3 linked regions of the Cricetulus griseus genome follow. Each later gene encodes a partner of the first gene's protein in a complex. Links are inferred from orthologs where the notes say so. Each region holds a gene or a part of one and is shown on either strand. Other genes may lie near its edges. The genes, in order: Itga2b, Itgb3 and Flna.

Region 1 (7,757 bases):
GTGAAAACCTCAGCAGGCAAGACAGACAGCTCTCTCACCAGTGTGACTGTGAAAGGAAAAGGGGAGCCATCGTGGAATGAGGATGGGACAGCTAGATGAGGGTCCCTGTGACGCCTGGGAATGCAGACACTCCATCCAGAGGCAGGAGATACCGATTCAAAGGTCACATAGAGAAAGCAGGAAGAGAGTGAGCAATAGGGCCCCTTAAGGAAGGAAACCGAATTGACAGCTTGGAAGACTGGAGAAAGTTAGAAACAAGTGCTGTGAGGAAATCCACAAGATGGTTGGGAGACCCCCAGGGTCCCAAGGAAGGCTGGCAATTAGGAGGCCACAGTGCCCATCTGCTCTGCATCTCCTGCCACCCTGAGCTGAATTAACTCCAGATAGAGTCTGACCAGGCTGATCCGAAACTGGCCATGGGGCAAGAATCAAATGGTCAGTAAATCCATGAAGACCAAAACCAGGACAGATACGAGGCCAGGGACTCGAGGACACCATTGTGGTCAGAGGCCTCTGTTTTGTTTTTGTTTTTTGAGACAGGGTCTCCTTGTGTAGCCCTGGCTGGCCTGGAACTCACAGAGATCCACCTGCCCCTGAGTCCTGAAGGCTAGGATTAAAGACTTTTGTTTGAATTATGATTATGGTGATCAAGAAAATTGCAAAGACATACTGTAAACAAAATCAGAAGATAAAGGGAAGATGGTTAAAACACACAGACACACGTGATCCTAAACTGGTCATATATGAAAAGGACTCAGAAAATAATGAGACTGCTAACAGACACACTCTCAAGACACTTGGGTTGAGAGACCTATGATGTGGCTGTGAGTTTGTTGGCATGGTGAAGCTGAAACAGAGTTAGCATCTGGGAAATAGGCTTCAGCTAGTTTTTATTTGCTTTTCAGTTTGGTTTTGTGTTTTGAAATGGAGTCTCACTATGTAGCCCTAACTGGCCTGGAACTCAATATGTATACCAAGCTGGCCTTGAACTCACAGAGATCTACCAACCTCTGCCTCATGAATGTTGATATTAAAGGTGTGCACCAGCACACCAGGCCTACTTTTTTTTCTTCCATTACTGGGAATTGAATCTAGGACCTCACACATACTAAGAAGTTTGCTGCCCCAAGCTGGGCTCAGTTATTTAATCTTCTTAGAAAATGGGAATTAAGGGAAGGGTTGTAGCTGAGCTAATACAGAGCTGGCCTAACATGCCCAAAGCCTCACACAGCATAAGTCAAGTGTGGTGGTGCCCATAGTACCAGTCCTTCTAGCACAAGGGATATGGAGACAGGAGGAGGACTAGAAGTTCAAAGTCAGCCTCAGTTACATAAATAAGTAGAGGCCAGTTTGTGACATATACCACCCTGTCTCATGGGCATGGTTTTGAACATTTTTTTAAAGATTTTATTTATTTATTATGTATACAACATTGTACTTCCACGTATATCTGCACACCTGTTTGTTTCATTTTTGAGACAGGGTTTCTCTGTAGTTTTGGAGCCTGTCCTGGAACTCATTCTTTAGACTAGTCTGGCCTTAAACTTACAGAAATCCACCTGTCTCTGCCTCTCGAGTGCTGGGATTAAAGGCATGTGCCACCACTGCCCGGCTAGTTGGTAGGTTTTTTGAAAGAGGGAGTTATGTATCCCAAGCTGCTCTCCAGCCTCTTAGGTAGCAGAGGGTGACCTTGGGCTTCTATCCCTCCTGCCTCTGCTTCCTAGGTGCCAGGATTACTGGTATGCACTGCCACACTGGCCTGTGTTGGTTCTTGTCACTGCCACCAATGAGCTCATTCTTGCTAAAGGCCATGATGTTTTCCCAGTCCCACCTAAATGGACTGAAAGAGGAATGAGGGGGCCACTTGGCCCATTCCTTCCTCCTGCTCCAAGTACTCTCTCTTAGAGTTTTGGGCCACCAATCTCATGGTTTCTCTCCCAGCTGTTCAAACTCTGTTTCCCACAGTCACCTTCTCGGTGGTCCCTAAATGTTCTTACTTCCCAGGGTTCTACTCTGGGCCTCTTCTTATCACACGGGCTCTGGATCCCATCCACTCTTCCTAGTTCTCTCTCTCTCTCACCCTCAGGCCTCTCTGGCGGAAATGCGGAAAGCCACAGTTCTCAGTTCTCACCTAACACCCCCAAGCCCTTCAAACCCATCTAACCTAGATCTGAACTCCAGACCTCCTGGCTCCCCACTCCCACTCAACCTCCTTCTCTTCTTGACTCCAAATTCCATTTCCCATCCACCTTAATAGTCCCAACCCCAAATATCTGTAAAGTCATCCAATCGCTAACTCCAGTCTCCATCATGCTGAGATTGAGACAAACCGTCCTAAAAGGATTCCCTGAACTCTGGTACCCATTTTCCAGTCGGCAGTCAAGCCTTCCTGGGCTCCTGCTGCCCAAGGTCTCAGCCTCCCTCGTACTGGAACTGCAGGGTACTCCACCCATCTGCCCTAAACCCATCCTTTTGTTAGGGCTATTAGTGCTCTTAAGGTCAAACACAGCAGCTCTTCCACTCACCATTATAGCCATCTCGGTTGAGGTCACCCAAGGGTGCTATGGCAGATCCAAATCTCCCATAGAGCTGAGTGCCGGTCAGCAGGTGAGTGGGCTTGTCCAGAATATGGGGGCCCTGAGGTTGCATAAACAAGTACACACGGCCCACCTCGGCCAGCTTTCCGTCTGCCCTGTGCTCCATATAGAGTGGAGCCCCCACCAGTAAGTCATCCCTCCTGTGGACCACATGGGCAAGGTTAGGTGCAGCTGAGCTAGGAAGATACCAGGAATGAGGGCAGTTCTGGGCCACCCTTGGGACAAGAGAAGGGTAACTCCTGTTGCTGGCAATTGAGGACCCAACTGGGTAAGGGTAGGGCATTCATTCCCTCTTCTCACCCATCCCCATTGACATCAGTGACTGCCACAGAGTGCCCGAAATACGAAGCCATCTACAAGATGAAGAGCGTTTCAGTTTGTGTTTCTGCACGCGGCACCCTGCTAGACATTACCCGCATATCCCAAGAACCGTCTTGAGGGTGTGTGTTTTAATACCCTGATTTTGGTCACTGCCACCGCCCTCACCTGCTCTCCACGAAGCTGGTACAGCCGCTGGTAGTAGGAGTCCAAAATTTCCACCTGTATGGAGGAACACACCCAAGCGCGTCATTCACGTTTCCTCAGTGGCTTCCCACTCTCATTGCGAAAGGGTAGGGTGCTGGCGAATGTGGGGGAGTAAACAAGATGACTAGGGTCAAGGGTTTGGTGGGAGAGCGGGCACTTACCGCTCCCAAGGTCGAGCTCCAAGTGGGGGCACCCATTATGTACTCTGTGAAAAGCCAGGCTCAGCAAATCAGATCCTCAGTCCCGACTTATTCCATCCTCACATAGGGACCCCGGGGGAATTGTGCAGAGGTGCTCCTGCCCCAGGACTCCTCTTGTAGAGGTGATCCTGCCCCAGGACTCCCCTAACTGCATTCCTTGCCTGTAGTGCTCGGATCCCCATCGAACTCGCCCACGGCCACCGAGTACCCTGAAAGCACAGCACAGCTTAGTGTTTAAGGCAACGAGGAAGACCTCGGTCAGGAAAGGAGGGTCATGAGAAGCGAGGTTATCAGCACAAACTGCATTGTGCAGGTGGGAAAACGGAGGCGTGCCCAAGATCTCACTTGAGTCCAAGGAGAGAAGGGTGAGCCAGTTTGGATGGGAGTTGAACAAGCGTGGTGGAAGAGGCAGGAACAGGGGGCGGGGTGCCTTTGTGCTGGGGTTGACTAGCTAAGATTGGCATAAAGGCACGAACAGGGGCCTGGGAAGCCTGGAAAGGAGATGCCAAGGTTACCCTGGTAGCTGTAGAAGTACGCTGGGTTGCCGGAGTCGAAGGTGTAGTGCTGACTGGGTAAAGGCCACAAAAGGGTACCCGGGCGGTAACTAGAGATGATACTCGAAATTGGAACCCGAGCCAGGAGACCTAGGAAGGGCACAGGGACAGGAGGTGTGGGGCACCAAACGCCTGGGTCTCCCCAAACCACGGAGATGGGAGAGAGTTGGAATACTGGGCACACCTACCTAAATAAAAGTAGCCGCCGGGGGCCCCAAGTACTAGCTCCCCATCCTGAAAGGGAAGTCCTGGTCATGAGAGGGTCCTCTATCCTGGGAACAACCCTAAACCACTTTGCCTGCACATTCTTTTTTTTTTTTTTAAGATTCATTTATTATGTATACAGTGTTCTGCCTGCATATATATATATATATATATATATATATAATATATATATTATATATATATCTGCCTGCATGCAGCATAGGGCACCAGATATCGTTATAGATGGTTGTGAGCCACCGTGTGGGTGCTGGGAATTGAACTCAGGACCCATGGAAGAGCAGCCAGGGCTGAAGAGCCATCTCTCCAGCCCTGCCTGCATATTCTTTTGTTTGTTTTTAGAGACAGGGTTTCTCTGTGTAGTCCTGGCTGACCTGGCACTCGCTCTGGAGACCAGGCTGGCGTCAAACTCAAGAGATCCACCTGCTTCTGCCTCCCGAGTGCTGGGACTGAAGGCATGCGCCAACATCGCACCATTCTCATTCTCCCCACCACCCCATCTCATTTTGAGACGAGTTTTACTTTGTAGCTCAGGCTGATCTCAAACTTGCTATGTACCCGGGGCTGGCCTCAGACTTGCTATGCAGACCAGGCTGACCTCAAACTCGCGAACCTCTAGGCTCAAGCTCCAGGGAGAGCTACTCTTGCCTGCGACTTGCCTGAGTCACCACAGAGCTGAAGCCGGCCTCACAGTGTCGCATGTCTTTGTCTACAAGAGGCAAATGGGGGTCAGCCCAAGGGGCGGCTCCGCGTGCTCCCGCTTTAGCCAGGAGTCCCGCGTGGGCAAGCAAAACGATGCGGGGCGGGGAGGGCGCGGAGGCGGGGCGCCCCGGGGGCGTGGCCTAGCGGAGGGGCCGGGCTCCCGGCGCGCGAGGTCGGTGGCGGGGTGGGGTTTGCAGCTAGCAGAGGGCGGAGCCTAAGGCGGAAGGGCGCCCACTTAAGCTTGAGTAAGCCGAGCTCGTGCTGTTGGCGCGGCAAGGCGAGAACTCGGCGCGACCGCCGCTTTGGAGCTGAGCCACGAAGCAGCCGCCTACTGGGGTCTTCTCTGCCTCGCGGTTCTTTTCCAGGACATTCCAGTGCTGCCAGGGGGCGCAGGCCTGGAGCAGAGTCGCAGGGGATTGGGGAAGGGCGCGATATTCTGGCTCCCCCCGCCCCCGCCCCCGCCCCCGTGTCATTTCTCTGGACTCGCTCCCTGTGACCTGTCCGCAGTGCCCACCACAATGACGTCATTCCAGGTGACCACCGACGCCCCAAGTCCTTGCCCGGTCTTGAAGGTCTGGAAAGTCTGGAAGCCTGCCTGACGGGTCTCGTCCCCTGGAGGGCACAAGAAAGGGAGGAGCTCCGGAGCCCCGCCCAGCACTTCCACCTGGCTCCGCCGCCCCCTCCGTGCCGGAGACTCACTTAGGTCGAAGGTCAACGGGGTGCAATTGCCGCCAGTGGCCTTCCAGGGGCACAGGAACACGCCGCCGGTCTCCTCCTGACTTGGGCTTAGGGCCCTGGGGGCGCCCACCACGATGGACACACTGCGTAGGAAGGCCGAGTGAGCACAGCTCGGGGTCCTTCCATCCTGCCCTGTGCCTGCCACCCCAGCAGAACCTGGAAGGAGGTGTGGCACAGGAGACACTGGGGCATCTTTCCTCACAAATACCCCATGAAGGCCAACCTCTTCATTTTAGGGGCAGCTGAAACTGGACTCTTAGGAAAGTCACCTGAGACTAAACCAGTTGGTTTGGTTTGGACGGGAAGGGTTTCATAGTCCTTGCTGAAAACGCCTGCTATGCTTCCAATAAGAACCAGACAAATCTTCTGCCTTGTCAAGCTTAATAGATGGCTTAGGGAGAGCTGTTCTGAATGGTGAAGGGTGCGGCGGGCTGAAGTGGGGATGTGGGATGTGTGATGCTGACAGACAGAGTTGAGGATCCTAGCAGACCGAAGTTTAAATCAGTTCTGCCTTATGTAAAGCAGGGGTGATATCAAGCAACTGCGCTGCTGGAAGAGTAAATGCAATAAATGTATGAGAAGGTATTCAGTACGCCCTCAGCCACATGCTTTTGTAAAAGTGTATTTGTTAATAAACACAGCATGCTTATTAAATTGTACCCATGGGACCAGAGCTTGGGGAAAGAGCAGCAGACCGAGGAAGGGGGGGAAGGAGTTGAACTGAGCTTCAGGCCCTGTGTGTTAACACTCGAGAGCTCTGAGGACAGGAGATTTTTGTTTGTCGTTTGTTTAATTATTTTATTTTTTCCATTTTACATATCAATCCCAGTACTCCCTCCCCTCATCTTGCTTCCCCCACCTTACCCTCTAGCACGGACCTGCTCCTCAGAGAGGGTATAGACTTCAGGGGGAGTCAACGAAGTCTGTCCCATCATGATGAAGCCTGACCAACTGCTCCCCCACCCCCCACCCCCGTGTTGAGCAAGGTAGCGAGGTATCTCTCCGTAGGAAATGGGCTCCAAAAAGCCAGCTCATGTACCAGGGATAGATCCTGGACCTACTTACTGCCGGTGGTCTCACAAACTGCCCAATCCACCCACTGTCACCTGCATTCAGGGGGTCTAGTTCAGTTCTATGCAGGCCCGGCAGCTGTTAAGTCTGGAGTCAGTGAGCTCCCACTAACTCTGGTCAGTTGTTTCTGTGGGTTTCCCCTTTATGATCTTGACCCCTTTGCTCATATTGTCACTCTTCCTTCTCTTCAACTGGACTCTGGTTTTGTTTTTTTGAGACAGGGTTTCTCTACGTAGCTCTGGCTGTCCTGGAACTCGCTCTGTGGCCTCAAACTCATAGGGATGCACCTGCCTCTGGCCCCCATTAAGGGGGAATAAAGCCAGATGTTGGTGGCGCATGCCTTTAATCCCAGCACTCGGGAGGCAGAGGCAGGCAGATCTCTGGGAGTTCGAGGCCAGCCTGGTCTACAGATCGAGTTCCAGGATAGGCTCCAAAACAATACAGAGAAACCCTGTCTCGAAAAGCCAAAAAAATAAAAAAATAAAATAAAGGAGAATAAAGGTGTGTGCCACCACACCCAGCTCAGGAGCTTTTATTTACTTGACAGTCTTGCTATGCAGGCCTGGTTATTTAGCTTATGGTAACCATCCTGCCTCAGCCTTCTGAGTGCTGGGTTTACAAGCATATGATGATTCTCAGTTACAGAATCATCAGAGTTGAGGCAAGCCCAGATCCCTCCCCCTTCACAGACAATCTCCGGATGCAAGACATCTTGGGATGGGGACCTGGCTTTTGATGAAATGGCTCTTTTAGGCAGAGGAAACGATTCCTTACACTTATCCTTGAGAGCAGTCTTTACTGTTCCCCAAACCTGAGCATCCCAGTGTCCATCACATTAAGTTACCCAGGATAAACACAGCTATGAAGATGACCCAGGAATATTAGAAGTTTGATCTCAAAACCTGATCAATGCCGACTGTTAGTAATCTATTACTTCTTTTCAAATACCTATAATTTGGACACTTGTATCTTTGCCAGCCAATTTCACATGAGTGGCTGAGGGTAAAGTGACAAAGTGAGGGACAAAGATGATAGCAACTTTTACCTTTTTTGTTCAATGATCATCTCCCATTGGTGTCCCTCCCCGGCACCCTCTCCTTCATTCCTGACAGGAGTTCCACCCAAACAGACACTAGACTTCACCTTGC
Region 2 (7,757 bases), about 2.0 Mb from region 1:
GCAGTCTTTGTTCAGTGCGGATGACATAGCTGAAGTCTCTGTGTCTTTTTTTTCAAAACAGGAAAAAATTGGCTGGAGGAATGATGCATCCCATTTGCTGGTGTTTACCACTGATGCCAAGACCCACATTGCACTGGATGGAAGGCTGGCAGGCATTGTCCTGCCCAACGATGGACAGTGTCACATTGGCAGTGACAACCATTACTCTGCCTCTACTACCATGGTGAGATGCCTGGTCCCACTGTGGTCCTTGTTCACTCTGATAGGGCTGTTTTATTCCAGGCAAGGCTTTTGTGTGAATTTGAAAACAGACTTACTTCTGGGCATTATATGGGGCTCAGTTAGTGCCTGTTTCTGCCACATCCCAATAGGGCACCCTCACCCAGGGCGTCACACTGACTCCGCAGTCGTCAGCACCAGCAACAGCATCTTGCCATCCAAAATGTGGGAAGGCACAGCTAGAAAACTCTCTTCCCTCCTTCCTCTGTGGATGGGTCCCTTCTTGGAATCAAGCTCATTTGTGGTTACTGGGGAAAGACAAGGGGGAGAAAAGGACAAAGGTAAAACCCAGAGAGCAGAGCCTCTTGAGGAAAGGTTAAAGGGCACAGAGTCATTCGGTTTGAAAGAAAGATGTTTGTGGATAATTTAGGATGATAGGTAAGAAAACTTATGAAAAGTTATTTCATGTGTTTTATTTAACCATAGACAGTTAACTAAATAAGAAGAAAGGAGCTTAAATTGAAATAGGAATTACTGTCAACCATGAGGCAAATGTAGCTAAGTTTAAAATAATAACACTTAGGGTATTTGGAGAAAGTCTTGACTTTTTTTTTTTACCTGTCTTGTCCCCCTACCCCCCTTCATTTTCTTGAGTCAGGGCTTTGCCATGCAGTCCAGGTTAACTTGTAATTCTTAGTCCTCTGCCATCACCTTCACATCAGTGGGGTTACAGTAATTTGACAATATACCTGATTTTAATTAATTGATTAAATGATAAAGGGCCTTGTTCTATATATAGCCCAGGCTGGTTTTCTCCTTGCAGTCCTCTGCCTCAACCTTCTGAGTATTGGGATTAGAAGCTTATACCACCATGCCTGTTTTTTTTTTTTTTTCCCTTAGTCTGGAAATTGAATTCAACGTCTCATAGTATATTAGATAATTGCTCATCCACCAGGCCATCCCCAGCCTACTGTTTATTTTTAAATAAGAAACAAAACCTTATTTATTATTAAAACATACTCCTTATTTTCTCTAGTCAATAGAGGAACCATTTTGTGGCTTAAAAGTGATTCAAGGGAGGAGACTGAGCTAGAGAACTCATGAGCTCCCTTGCAAGGTCTATGAGCCCATGGACATATTGGTTCATACTGTTTCCTGGTCTCTTCAAGTCCTTGGTATTAGCCATATACAAGCTGAGCACTATCGGACTCTGATACTAGTCTATACAAGGCACTGATCAGGAGCTGCGAGAGATGAAAAAGCTATAAGGACCTACTCCTACAAGTTTTTTTGTTTAGATGAAGAGAGAGGATATATTCCAGCACATTTATCAATAGCAGCGAATGCATGCTGAATGCTAAGTGTGTTATACAGTCAAGGGCTATTGGCAGCCGGAAGAGGAAAGCTCCTTAGGAGCTGGGGTGGTCAAGGAAGGCCTCTTGGAGGAGGTGAGCTTTGGCTAAGGAAGGAGGAGGATTGCCAAGATGAAGGTCACTCGCAGGAGGAGTGAGCTAGAGCAGTGCCTGGTAGAAGAGGAGTAGGGGTGAGTGATGGTTGTTGGTCACGTGTTGGTTGATCAGTAGAGCGAGGCTAGGACATTTGCCCACAGCTCTGCAACGGTGGGCCTTAACTCATGGAGCTGGTTTGAATCTGAGTGGGAAGGAAGGTGCTTGGCTTTGGAACACCACCAGCTTAGGGTTCTTTGCTAAGCTTGCACTGCATTGCCCTTCTCACTCATATAGCAACTTTCATTTCATATCCACTTTCTGTTGCTAACAGTAAGCCAGAAAAGAACTTCAGTTTTGTTCTTAGAACTTGCGAGTTTGAGAGACCACATCTGGTGGTCATCTTGCTGGCTGAGTCCCAAGACTCAGGCCGGCATGAAGCAGAGGTCAGGGAGTGTGTGTATGGGTTTCTGTTTTCATTGTTCTCCTCTCATGACACTAGTGGGATTCAACTCTGGGGGCTTTGCTGTAATGACCTCTAACCATACTTCCCGAATACTCTACTCCCCAGTACTGTTGGGGGGCGGGGCTTGTCTTCATCCCCCCCCCACCCAAGCATCTCACAGTGTGAATTCAATTTCATCACATGAAACCCAAGGGACACACTGGAGCCATGTCCAAACCACAACACCTCACTTTGATTAGTGCATAAATGTTTTAAGTTTCACATTTCCTTGGCGATATCCCCATGAACCTTTCCCTCTTTTCCAGGATTACCCGTCTCTGGGGCTGATGACTGAGAAACTATCCCAGAATAACATTAACCTGATCTTCGCAGTCACTGCAGACGTGGCCAACCTCTACCAGGTAACTATGCCTCTGGGGCTTCCGTCCTGTTGCCACAGATGGACCTGTCCCAGGTGGCCATGGACCCAACCAGGAAAAAAATCCTTTTAAAACTCATTCTCTGGGTACTTAACATAACTCCCTATAGCCTTTTTCCTTCAGCCTCTAACCTGCTAGGAAGAGGGTGTAGATGTTTGAGATGATGGTGAGGAGATAAATCAGTTGGGGGAGGGGAGTAAAAAGGTTTCTTACTTTTCCCTCAGATATGAAAATCTGATAGATCTGTTCTGGTAGTGACAAGTGAGGCATCCCACAGTGTCCTCACAACTTCACTTTAAGACTGTCAGTCTGGCAGTGGTGGCACACGCCTTTAATTAAAGCACTTGAGAGGCAGAGGCAGGCAGATCTCTGAGTTTGAGGCCAGCCTGGCCTACAGAGTGAATTCCAGGACGGCCAGGGCTACACAGAGAAGCCCTGTCTTGATGCCCCCCACCCCCCAAAAGACTGACTAGGGGGACTTTGAGGAGACCACTTTCCTTGAGCAAGCTGTGGACATCTTTGTCTTCCTTTCTAGAATTATAGTGAGCTCATTCCGGGGACCACAGTGGGAATCCTGTCTGTTGACTCAAGCAATGTCCTCCAGCTCATTGTTGATGCTTATGGGGTAAGAATATTGGCCTGGGAGGGCTGGTCGAGTCTGCTGGATGTGGCTCATTGAGCAGAGGGTGTTAAAAAGAAGTAAAAGTGGGATGCAGTGGTCCCTCTACAATGGGAGCCTGACATGTAAATTCCCCCCAGGATTGAAATTTCTTAAAATGAATGGGCCTCAAGGCCATGCTTGGGCCTGGAGGTGGAAGGGAGGCATTAGATGGAAACAATATAATAGGGAGGTCTAAACATAATAGGGCCTTAAAGGGGACAAGAGGTGTCCCTTTAAAGCCTGAAGAGGAGCTTTATTAAGAGTGAGAGCGAAGCTGGGCAGTGGTGGAGCACTCCTTTAGTCCCAGCACTCGGGAGGCAGAGGCAGGGGGATCTCTGTGAGTTTGAGACCAGCCTGGTCTACAAGAGCTAGTTCCAGGACAGCCTCCAAAGCCACAGAAAAACCCTGTCTCGAAAAACCAAACAAACAAACAAACAAACAAACACAGAAGAGTGAGATCGAGAGAGGTCAGGAGGAGAGTGGGTAGGGGGAGCCAAAGAGAGACAATGTTCATGAGCGTGAAGGCAAAGAGACCCTCTTCAAAAGCAGCCTTTCTCTCTAGACCAATTCCTAGAACAAAGGAAAGGTCTGGCTTTTTATGTTTTTAGGAGTGGCAGGAAGTTTCATATCATGTGATTTAGTTGAACACAGCACATAGAGAAGCCAAGTATTCTACAATGACAACTGTCAAGTCACGGTACAAACTGCTTTGGAACTCTGTCCCAAAGCGAGCTGGAGTGCGTGGCCTGGTTTGCCTGTGGGATCATGCCTAAAGATGCAGGCCCATGTTATGACAGAGCTCAGCATTGGGAGCCCTAGGCTGCCATTCTCCCATGTGGCCTTCCTGCTTTCCTCTTGTGCTCCTAGAGGATGGCCAGCCCTGGGAGAGATGACATCTTCTGGAAAGGAGGTGGGAGAGAAAGGAAGGCTAGGGCAGAACGGACGGTGAGTGGGGCGCTTAGAGGTGGAGGGGACTGTAGATGCGGGCCAGATTGACAAGGAGCATCTGTAGGGCAGAATGAGGGAGAGCCAGGTCCTAGCCACACACAAAAGAGGCAACTGAGTACAGAGACATTCTGGCAGCAACGGGCAGATAACCCTCAGCATCCGGCACTACCAAAGCACGTCCCAGGCCTCTGGGTTGGCTTTGCGTGGGATGCTTTTGGCCTTTGTCTGTGTCTTTACTTTCTTTTGTCCCTTTCTGCTCAGAAAATCCGCTCCAAAGTGGAGCTGGAAGTGCGTGACCTCCCTGAAGAGCTGTCACTATCCTTCAATGCCACTTGCCTCAACAATGAGGTCATCCCAGGCCTCAAGTCTTGTGTGGGACTCAAGATTGGAGACACGGTAAGGTGGGCAGTGGGCGAGGCAGGGACTGATACTGAAGCTGTGACGTGGACCCCAGAGTCTGTGTGTACTCCAACCCTTTTCAGATTAGAAGTTCAAGAGCTCTTAACCTTTCCTCTTGAAGCTTCTGCTGCCTAAAGTTTCTGTATCCACTGAGTTAACATCTCCATCAGTTTTTGAGATATTCACACCTGTATATCTGATTGCAAATGAAATGATCTCTTATCTACTCACCCAGAGTAGTGCCTTTCTTTTCTCTGTGACATAAAATGGCAGTATATCATCTGTAGACTTTAGCTGAGCACTGACTGTGCGCCAGGCTTTATTCTGGGTGATGAAAATCCAGCAGCAAGTGGACAGGAAAAAATACCTGGACCCCTTGAGACTCACTTAAGAGTGCAGATGCTCATATTGCCCCTGCATTCCCTCCATGGTTTTCTTGATGGCTATTGTTTTGCATTTTATGCATATGGTTATTTTGCCTATGTGCATATTTATGTATCATGTGGGTGCCTGGTACCTGTGAAGGCCAGAAGATGGTATCTGATTCCTTGGAACTAGAGTTACAGAGGGTTGTGATCTGCCATGTGGATTTGAACCCAGGTCCTCTGGAAGAGCAGCCAGCATTCTTCACTGCTGAGTTATCTCTCTAGCTGCCCGGGTTTTCTTTGTGTGCTGGTCCTCCTCTGCTCTACCTAAGAGACTGGTGGATGGCAGGGAGGAATGACAAGAAGTCAATCTTTTGGTCCATTGCCCTGTAAGCTTATTTTCCAAGCATGTATGTCCACAGCCCCACACTTCACACGCTGCAATGATGCCTTATACAGTATCCTTCAGTTTGGGACTGATTAACCACTCTTTGGCATGGTGTGGCACAAAGCAGAATCTTGTTGTCTTGCTGTTAATATGCAACATTGATCCTCCAGCTGGCTTAGTTGGCTAGTGTAGTGCTCACAAAAATCACTGATTCTGTCCTGCTTCAGCTGGTTTCTCTCTCGGGAATAGAACAGCCTTCTATTGCTTGTCTGTAACCATCTGTCCAGTCAGATGTGTCACAGTGGTAACTTCTATGCCACTGTCGTTGTTACTCTGTAGACTTTGATAGTATTAAGGTCACGGAACCCCCTGGGATGGTTGAATTCAGACACCTAGTTTTGTTTTCCTTGGTAGGGTGCATCGTAGCATTTCTCAGATCCACTTAGGTCTGAATGTCATCTTTCCATCCAGGTGAGCTTTAGCATCGAGGCCAAGGTACGCGGCTGCCCCAAGGAGAAAGAGCAGTCTTTCACTATCAAGCCTGTGGGCTTTAAGGATAGCCTTACTGTCCAGGTCTCCTTTGACTGTGACTGTGCCTGCCAGGCCTCTGCCCAGCCTCTCAGCCCACGCTGCAACAACGGCAATGGGACCTTTGAGTGTGGAGTGTGCCGCTGTGACCAGGGCTGGCTGGGAGCCATGTGTGAGTGCTCTGAGGAGGACTACCGACCCTCCCAGCAGGAAGAGTGCGTCTCCAAGGAGGGCCAACCCATTTGCAGCCAGAGAGGCGAGTGCCTCTGCGGCCAGTGTGTCTGTCACAGTAGTGACTTTGGCAAGATCACTGGCAAGTTCTGTGAGTGCGATGACTTCTCCTGTGTCCGCTACAAAGGGGAGATGTGCTCTGGTGAGTAGAAGCCTGCACCCGCGTGCTCGGTAGCCATGCATGCATACACACCTCAGTAGAAGTGTACACCCGTGTGCTCGGTAGCCGTGCATGTATACACACCCCGGTGCCTTGGGAAACACTCGGAAGGCTTGAGGCTGGCAAGGTGGGCAGAACTGAGAATCCATTTCACTCAGAGTGGAAACCCAGACATAAGCAGAGGAGGGAGGGAACCGGATCTTTTAGCTTGTTCGTGGGGCATAGGAAGCTAAGCTGGAGGTAGGCAGGAGTGGAGAAACGTCAAGGAGAGGTAGCTTGTTTTGCTTTTTGTTCTTCTCACTCTGATATTTCAGGTTCCTAATCCTTTTGAATATAAGGACTGACTTAGTTTTCAACTAAAGAAACCAGTCTCTTGGTAATTAAACTGTTAGTGTTTACAGACAGAAAATATATGATATCGGAATATACTGTAAAGTTCATAATCATTTTACATGACTTTATCGTTCTATCACCAGTAGACAGTAGTGATATATATGCAGGACGTTGGGGGCACCAGAACAGTGTTTGGGAAGTGGTGTACCTGTGTTAAATGTTATCCTTGTTTTGGCATCTGTTTTTTACTGCGTGTATTCATGTGCTGTCCAGAATGGTATCCACTAGCCATGTGTAGCTATTAACTAAGTGAGATAGAAACAGAAATTCAGTTTTCAGTTGGTCAGTAGCCTCATGTGGCTAGTGGCTATCATATTGGACCATGCAGATATTGAACATGTTGACATTGCAGGAAGTTCCACTGGATAATGTTGCCATAGTGACTTCCTACCAGCAGATTAAAATTGTGTGTGTGTGTGTGTGTGTGTGTGTGTGTGTGTGTGTGCGTGCTCCCACACGAGGCATGCATGTGTGTATATAGGTATAGTGACCAGAGATAGACTTTTTTTTTTTTTTGATTTTTAGAGACAAGGTTTCTCTGTATTGTTTTGGAGGCTGTCCTGGAACTTGCTCTGTAGACCAGGCTGGTCTCGAACTCACAGAGATTGGCCTGCCTCTGCCTACCGAGTGCTGGGATTAAAGGTATGCGCCACCAACGCCCATCCCAGAGCTAGATTTATGTGTCTTTTTCAATCACTTTCCATGTTATGCTTTGAGATTAGATCTCTCATTGACCCTGGGGCTGACCAGTTGGCTAGGCTGGCTGTCTGAACTCCAGGGATCCAACTGTTTTTGTTTCCTAATTTTGGGATTACACACATGTGCCACTGAGTTTAGCTTTTTTTTTTTAAAGCATGGTGCTGGAGATCTGAACTCAGGTCCTCATGTTGGCAATGCAAGCTGTCTCTCCATCCTGGGAACTGTAATTTTGAGCCTGAAGGATCCGAGTTGTTCCTTATTGCAAATTCAGTGCACCCCCCCACCCCCAGGCCTATTGATAACTTCAAACTGGTCCCAAAGACCCATTTCTGGGTGTTTTCCTGACCAGGAGAAGCCAAATCACTATTAATGTGGTCTTTAGAACTCTCAGGGCAAATGGACAGGCCGAGCCTTTTTTCTTAGGCTCTGGAGGTAG
Region 3 (6,808 bases), on another chromosome or scaffold:
GAGGGACAGCCTGCTAGAGCTGAGTGCTACCTATAGGGTGGGGCCACCTTCCCTTTCTGCTGCCTGGGTGTGTAATTGTTGAGTACACATTTAGGGGATAGGAGGTTGGGGGTGTGTCTGTGGCTTGCTGCCCTCACAGATCAATGGCTCTCCCTCTTTAAACCATGTTGGATACCAGATGGGTAAGTTACCCTGTGGGTCTCCTACTCTTCCATTTTCCCTGGCTCTAGCCATCCTGTCTAACCACATCTGCTGTGCTTCTAGGAGTCAGGGTTAAAGGTCAACCAGCCAGCCTCTTTTGCAGTCAGTCTGAATGGAGCCAAGGGGGCAATTGATGCCAAGGTGCACAGCCCCTCAGGAGCTCTGGAGGAGTGCTATGTCACAGAGATTGACCAAGGTGAGGCTCTATCCCTGTCTAGCCATCCAGCCATCTGCCCTATTGGACTAAAACCAGGCTTGAGTGTACACATGGAAAATAATGATTCTGTAAGCAATCAAAATTGGGCTCCTCAGCTTTCCAGATTGATAAAACACCCATGAAGATAATGGCTTTCCAGCATGGCCACTAGGAAGAAAGCCTTAGAAGTGCCATACATGACACAGAGACAGAGACAGTCTATCCCTGTGGCTAGAGGAATAGCAGTTCTATTGAAGCATACTAGTTTTCCCCCTCCCCACAGGTCCATGACCTGAAGCAAATTCCTTGCTAAACCTGCTGCTAATCTGTTGCTAGCATGGTATTAACAGTACATGGTCTAAGGAGGCAACAATGTGGGCATTTTGCTTGTCAGTCCAAAGGACTCAACAGTAGACTTCTTAGGTATCTATAATCTTAGTCCTCAGGATGTATGTGTTGTTGGGGTGGGTACCCAGTACAGTTCTGGAAGCAGAGGGGTCTCCATGGAGCAGTTGAGTTCCTGCTGGTGGCAAGAAAAATGAAAGGGATGGTTAGTACTAAGGCTATTCCTTTTAGATACCATTTGCTTGTTAAATACTGAAAAGTACCCTAGGCCCATGACATGTCCTTCTGCATCTCAGATAAGTATGCTGTGCGTTTCATCCCACGAGAGAATGGCATCTACTTGATTGATGTTAAGTTCAATGGTACTCATATCCCTGGAAGTCCCTTCAAGATCCGAGTTGGGGAGCCTGGGCATGGAGGGGACCCAGGCTTGGTGTCCGCCTATGGAGCAGGCCTGGAAGGTGGTGTCACAGGTAGGTTCATGGGTATATTTCTGAGTGTGGATGCAGTTGTTAGGGCCCTGCATCCAAGCTCTTAGCAACAGGAAGCATGTGGAAGTATCAAGGCTGTGCTGGGTGGCTGAAGACAGGAGAGCCAGTGACATACACTCTGCCTGACCTTCCATGCTCCCAGGGAGCCCAGCTGAGTTTATCGTCAACACAAGCAATGCAGGAGCTGGTGCCCTTTCCGTTACCATTGATGGCCCCTCCAAGGTGAAGATGGATTGCCAGGAGTGCCCTGAGGGCTACCGTGTCACCTATACCCCTATGGCACCCGGAAGCTACCTCATCTCCATCAAGTATGGTGGGCCCTATCACATTGGGGGAAGCCCCTTCAAAGCCAAGGTCACAGGTGAGCCCCAGGCTAAGCTGTTGGTGCCCATTCAATGCCTTGATATTCTCTAGCTACTTCTCAGTTTCACCTATTCTGTCCTGCAGGTCCCCGTCTTGTTAGTAACCACAGTCTTCATGAGACAACATCTGTATTTGTGGACTCCCTGACAAAAGTTGCCACTGTTCCCCAGCTTGCAACCTCAGGCCCAAGTCCCACTGATGTCAGCAAGGTAGTAGCCAAAGGCCTGGGGCTGAGCAAGGCCTATGTAGGCCAGAAGAGCAGCTTCACAGTAGACTGCAGCAAAGCAGGTAAGTATCCCTGTTTCTAGCTCTGGAAGTACAAAGTCAGAAATCACAAGACAGTCAACATGTGGAAAGTACAGGAACTTAGGGGTATGATTGTTGCTTTGGGGGCTACTTTATATTTGGGCTTCCTGGAGAAGTAGCTTAGTGGTTAAGAGTACTGGTTGCTCTTCCAGAGGACCTGGGTTTTGTGGGTTTTTTTTTGTTATTTTGTTTTTTTTTTTGAGACAGGGTGGAGCCTATATGGCACTCACTCTGTAGACCAGGCTGGTCTCAAACTCAGAGATCCACCTGCCTCCTCTGCCTCCTGAGTGCTGGGACTAAAGGCATGTGCCACCACTGCCCAGTTTATATAATCAGTCTTTCTTTCTTTCTTTCTTTCTTTCTTTCTTTCTTTCTTTCTTTCCTTCCTTCCTTCCTTCCTTCCTTCCTTCCTTCCTTTCTTTCTTCCTTTCTTCCTTTCTTTTTTGAAGACTCAGGTTCAAGTCCAAGCACCCATCTATATGGCAGTTCACAACTATCTATAACTCCAGTTTCAGGGAATCCAACACCCTCACACAGACATACATGTAGGCAAAACACCAATGCATGTAAAATGCATTGCCAGTTGGTGGTGGCACACCCCTTTAATCCCAACACATGGGAGGCAGATCTCTGAGTTCAAGGCAAGCCTGGTCTACAGAGCTAGTTCCAAGACAGTCAAGGCACAGTGAAACCCTGTCTAAAAGACGTACGTGTGTGTGTGTGTGTGTGTGTGTGTGTGTGTGTGTGTGTGTGTGTGTGTGTCTGTCTGTCTGTCTGTCTGTCTGTCTGTCTGTGTCTGTGAAGAAAATGTCCTGGAAGACCTGGGATTTGTCTTCTGGTGGCCTAGGTGGGGTATGAGAAGCTTGTTGGGAAGGGGTATTGTTCTAAACAGGCAAGGAACAGGATGTAGAATAGGAAGAAGGGCTCAGAGCAATTACAGCTGAAGGAAGGGGTTAAGGCTAGTCACTGAGGCCTATTCCTACCTCAGGTAACAACATGCTGCTGGTGGGGGTGCATGGCCCAAGGACACCCTGTGAAGAGATCCTGGTGAAACACATGGGCAGCCGTCTCTACAGTGTCTCCTACCTGCTCAAGGACAAAGGGGAGTACACACTGGTGGTCAAGTGGGGTGATGAGCATATCCCAGGCAGCCCATACCGCATTATGGTGCCCTGAGCCTGACAACTATGCCAGCCAGAATCTCCCATAGCAAAGAGCAACCTCACACCTGTCCCACCCCCAAGAAGTCCATTTTCCTTTCCTGAGCCCTGGGCCCTCCCTTAGATCACTCTGGCCACTCTGTCACTGCAGTCTCCCCTGCCCTGCGCTGTGCTCACCTGCCTCTCTGGGCTTTCACTTGGGTAAAGGGAGCCATTTGGTGGCAGCGCCTGACTCCTTTGGTTCTGGGAGGGTGGGAGTTCTATGTACAACCACTTGCTAGTTCTCTTTCCCAGACAAGAGGAATAAAATTTTGCTTCCATTGTCCTGTGAGTGTCTGTATCTTTCATGGAAAGAGTGATGAAGTCCAAACTGGCAAGGGTACCAACAAGGCATAGGTATAGGCTGTGGGATCTCCAGGTAGCACAGTCTGTATTTGCTCTTTGTTTCACAGAGATGGGTATATGATGTACCTAGAATGGCATAGGATCAAGTAGGCAAAATGTGGGGCATTAAGATTAATTGCTAGCTAGTTGGTGATCGCTAGCAGTGATGATCAGGTAAACTGTCTTAGAAATAGCATCAAGGCCTAGCCGTCTCTTAGATACCATGAACATAATAATACCAGCTCTTAGTGTTTGGCTTTTGAGGTGGGTTTGAGGTGCTTTGGCTGTCCTGAACTCACTCTGGAAACCAGGCTGGCCTCCAACTCAGAGATCCATCTGCCTCTGCTTCTGCCTCCTGAGTGCTAGAATTAAAGGTGTGCCCTACCACTGCTTGGCTTATTTTGATATTTTGGAGACAGGGTCTCACTATGTAACCTTGGCTGGCTTGGAACTCATTATGTAGACTAGGCTGGTCTCAAACGCACAAAATAAGGCACCATTACAAAGATTCTCCCTCTTACAACAGAGTGTATATACTTCTTCATCAATGAAGGAGGGATACCCATTCCTACGGAAGGAAGCATAGTGCTCTGGTCCTAAGTATTCTTTTTTGGTTGGTTTTTGTTTTTTGTTTGAGACAGGGTTTCTCTGTGTAGCTTTGGAGCCTATCCTGGCACTTGCTCTGGAGACCAGGCTGGCCTCTAACTCACAGAGATCGGCCTGCCTCTGCCTCCTGAGTGCTGGGATTAAAGGCGTGCGCTACCAATGCCCAGCCATTCCTAAGTATTCTTGATGGTCCTCTCTTCTATCCTCAAATGCGACTTGTAATATAGAGCCTCCTTGCTACAAATGCAGTGGGGAAATCTCTTGGTCTCAGTAACCCCTTTCTGCATCCTTTGTATGAGGATGGTTCCCTGTGTCCCCTAGAGCTAAAATTAAACAACATTCTAGCTCCCAGTGAAACCTACAGATGGCTGGGATATCTCCTTGAAACGGACCTAGCCCTATGCAAGGCTCTCAAGCCCACTGTCATCACTTCACTCATCTGTAGTCAAGGGCCAAGAAGTCAGGTTATCTGGGACAAGACCTACACTGCAGGTTATATCCTCTTTCAGCTCCTAGCACTCAACTCATTGGCATGACCTCTGCTGGCAACCCATAAGGCAGGACTTCAGAGCACTTGGCCAAAAGCTAGTTATTCAATAAGAAACATACAGGGGATAAAGGACTAAACTGCTGAGCTAAGACAGTTCCATGACTCTGGAAGGTTCTGTACTCCACTTCTACACTAGAAGTAGGTAGAAACAGGTATATCTGGGATCCTCACTTTTGTGCATCTGAGGCTGCCCAGGCCCAGAAGACATTGCCCAAGAGACAGGCAGATACAACTAGATAAAGTCCTTCCCTTGGTCCATTGGTATTATTGTTGAAAAGCCAGGATAGAGAGTAGGGCCCAACACTCTGGGAACCTCAAGAAGCTGCCCACCTGGACAGGGGGTTTTCTTTTTCTTTTTGCCTTCGAGACAGGGTTTCCTGGAACTCGCTCTGTAGACCAGGCTGGTCATGAACTCACAGAGATCCATCTGCCTGCCTCTGCCTCCCAGCCACCTGGAGAGGGGGGAAAGTATCAAAGGCAAGTCCAAGAAGGTACAGCACTAACAGAGGGGCATATGACACCTGCAAAAGTATGCCTGCCATCCTTAATTGATCCTTTTAAAAAGAATTAACTATGGGCTGAAGAGATGGCTCAGAGGTTAAGAGCACTGGCTGCTCTTCCAGAGGTCCTGAGTTCAATTCCCAGCAACCACAAGATGGCTCACAACCATCCGGAATGAGATCTGGTGCCCTCTTCTGGCGTGCAGGCATATGTAGAGGCAGAATGTTGTATACATAATAAATAAAATCTTTTAAAAAAGAATTAACTATAATTGTCTGCCTGTATGTATGTCTCTGTACCACATCCGTTCCTGGTGCCTATAGAAGCCAGAAGAGGGCATTTGATTGCCTGGGTCTGGAGTTAGAGATGGTTGTGAGCCACCATAATATGGATGCTGAGAATTGATCAATTCGGGGTCTTGTGGAAGAGGAGCAAGTACTCTTAGCAGCTGAACCATCTCTCCAGTCCCATGCCTACCATTCTTGACAGACCCAGCCACACAGTCCCAGAGGCTACCAGGAAAAGGCAGGTGGCCACCTCAGCTGATTCTGCAAACAACAAGGCCACATGACCTAGAATCTGCCTAACCACAAGAGTCCATGCCTTGGCTCTGTTGGCCAACCGGTGCTGGAAGCCAAGAGATCAAGGTCGCATGGCCATATGTCTTCCACTGCCTGACTTCCCTCCCACCCAGTGAGACCAAGAAGGGGACCAGGAGATGATTGGCTCTAGCTGAAAGCAGGGCCCAGAGACTGCAAGTTCAGGTTGGACTAAGGGTAAGGTGAGTCACAGGGCAGGCCCAGCTGACCATTCCTCCTCCCTTAGCCAGACAGCCCAGACACTCTGCTCAAACCCCCACCCACCCCCATAAGGAAAGGGGGACAATGCCTTCATAGAGCTTCCCTCAGCCATGGGGGTCACAGCACTCATACCTCACTAGGAAATGGCCAGTAGTCCCTTGGGCTTCTAGAGGGCTGGCCCAGGCCAAGGGGGGCAGGGTGAGAATAGAGCAGAGGGAGCAAGCAGCAGGTGACCTTGGAAATAACCCACAGAGGCTGCAGACATCAGTGGAGGAGCAGATACCCATGCACATGCCAGGCAGCCAGGGCCTGAAAGAGAGGCAGGGAGACTCAGGTGGGTGTCAGGAGGGGATCAACCAGGTGAAGGCAGGCAGTGATATGACAAAGTGTGTGGGGAACCTTGGCGGATTCCATGGCAGGCGAGGTTAACCGAGGCAGGGGACAAACGTGCCAGGCAGACAGCGCTTAGTGAGAAGTCTTATTAGAAAGGGGAGGGAGGGGGAAGGAAAAAGAACAGAGGTAAAGACACACAGAGACAGAGAGAGGACAGAAGAGAAGAGGGAGACAGGAAAAGCCCTGTCTGCCCCAGGGGAACAGCGGGAAAGAGATCATAAGTGGGTCTTTTAAAGGGGTCCTTTGCCCCTGTGTGGAGACTAGTAGTCATGGAACCCTGGGCTGACCAGGGTACTGCCTGAGTGCATTCTGCCAGGTGACAGGGGCAGGCCAGAATAATGCCTGAATCCCTACAGACAGAGGGCACCAGTTTGAGTCATGGTACCTGCCAAGGACTACCAGAGACAGGGCAGTGTATGACAGTGCCCTCCGTGTCCCTCTCCTCATCGCCCAACAGAGGGCCAGTGTGTGTCCTTTCTCTGCAACACCCATACCAGAGAGGACTCCGAGAT

The links.
Region 2: the proteins of Itga2b (region 1) and Itgb3 are in contact, whole or in part, in a cryo-EM structure (PDB 8GCE), measured with the Homo sapiens proteins. The link is inferred for Cricetulus griseus from reciprocal best matches to the Homo sapiens genes ITGA2B and ITGB3. Residues at the interface, in NP_000410.2 of Homo sapiens: Gln49, Phe52, Arg72, Trp141, His143, Asn145, Glu152, Ala153, Glu154, Lys155, Pro157, Arg184, Phe191, Tyr197, Glu199, Phe202, Pro217, Tyr221, Phe222, Phe262, Asp263, Tyr265, Tyr268, Thr290, Trp293, Thr294, Gln315, Met316, Ala317, Tyr319; in NP_000203.2 of Homo sapiens: Ser188, Pro189, Tyr190, Tyr192, Ile193, Ser194, Pro195, Pro196, Tyr204, Asp205, Met206, Arg242, Asp243, Pro245, Lys279, His281, Ile282, Ala283, Leu284, Asp285, Arg287, Leu288, Ala289, Gly290, Val292, Gln293, Pro294, Asn295, Asp314, Tyr315.
Region 3: the proteins of Itga2b (region 1) and Flna are in contact, whole or in part, in an NMR structure (PDB 7SFT), measured with the Homo sapiens proteins. The link is inferred for Cricetulus griseus from reciprocal best matches to the Homo sapiens genes ITGA2B and FLNA. Residues at the interface, in NP_000410.2 of Homo sapiens: Trp1019, Lys1020, Val1021, Gly1022, Phe1023, Phe1024, Lys1025, Arg1026, Asn1027, Arg1028, Pro1029, Pro1030; in NP_001104026.1 of Homo sapiens: Thr2263, Gly2267, Ala2268, Gly2269, Gly2270, Leu2271, Ile2273, Ala2274, Val2275, Glu2276, Gly2277, Ser2279, Ile2283, Phe2285, Asp2287, Arg2288, Lys2289, Gly2291, Cys2293, Val2295.

The regions. Positions count from the first base shown.
Region 1 is NC_048600.1:115,636,715-115,644,471, reverse strand, and holds part of Itga2b (integrin alpha-IIb), read right to left. Parts: intron 5,622-7,757; coding exon 5,315-5,621; intron 5,196-5,314; coding exon 5,036-5,195; intron 4,808-5,035; coding exon 4,758-4,807; intron 4,111-4,757; coding exon 4,065-4,110; intron 3,967-4,064; coding exon 3,838-3,966; intron 3,532-3,837; coding exon 3,484-3,531; intron 3,328-3,483; coding exon 3,284-3,327; intron 3,138-3,283; coding exon 3,084-3,137; intron 2,951-3,083; coding exon 2,898-2,950; intron 2,738-2,897; coding exon 2,526-2,737; intron 1-2,525. UniProt on the Homo sapiens protein: Integrin alpha-IIb/beta-3 is a receptor for fibronectin, fibrinogen, plasminogen, prothrombin, thrombospondin and vitronectin. It recognizes the sequence R-G-D in a wide array of ligands.
Region 2 is NC_048600.1:117,667,250-117,675,006, forward strand, and holds part of Itgb3 (integrin beta-3), read left to right. Parts: intron 1-61; coding exon 62-223; intron 224-2,435; coding exon 2,436-2,531; intron 2,532-3,084; coding exon 3,085-3,174; intron 3,175-4,419; coding exon 4,420-4,554; intron 4,555-5,781; coding exon 5,782-6,211; intron 6,212-7,757. UniProt on the Homo sapiens protein: Integrin alpha-V/beta-3 (ITGAV:ITGB3) is a receptor for cytotactin, fibronectin, laminin, matrix metalloproteinase-2, osteopontin, osteomodulin, prothrombin, thrombospondin, vitronectin and von Willebrand factor.
Region 3 is NC_048604.1:1,486,686-1,493,493, forward strand, and holds the end of Flna (filamin-A), read left to right. Parts: intron 1-264; coding exon 265-397; intron 398-1,038; coding exon 1,039-1,215; intron 1,216-1,375; coding exon 1,376-1,594; intron 1,595-1,680; coding exon 1,681-1,884; intron 1,885-2,890; coding exon 2,891-3,078; 3' UTR 3,079-3,393; downstream 3,394-6,808. UniProt on the Homo sapiens protein: Promotes orthogonal branching of actin filaments and links actin filaments to membrane glycoproteins. Anchors various transmembrane proteins to the actin cytoskeleton and serves as a scaffold for a wide range of cytoplasmic signaling proteins.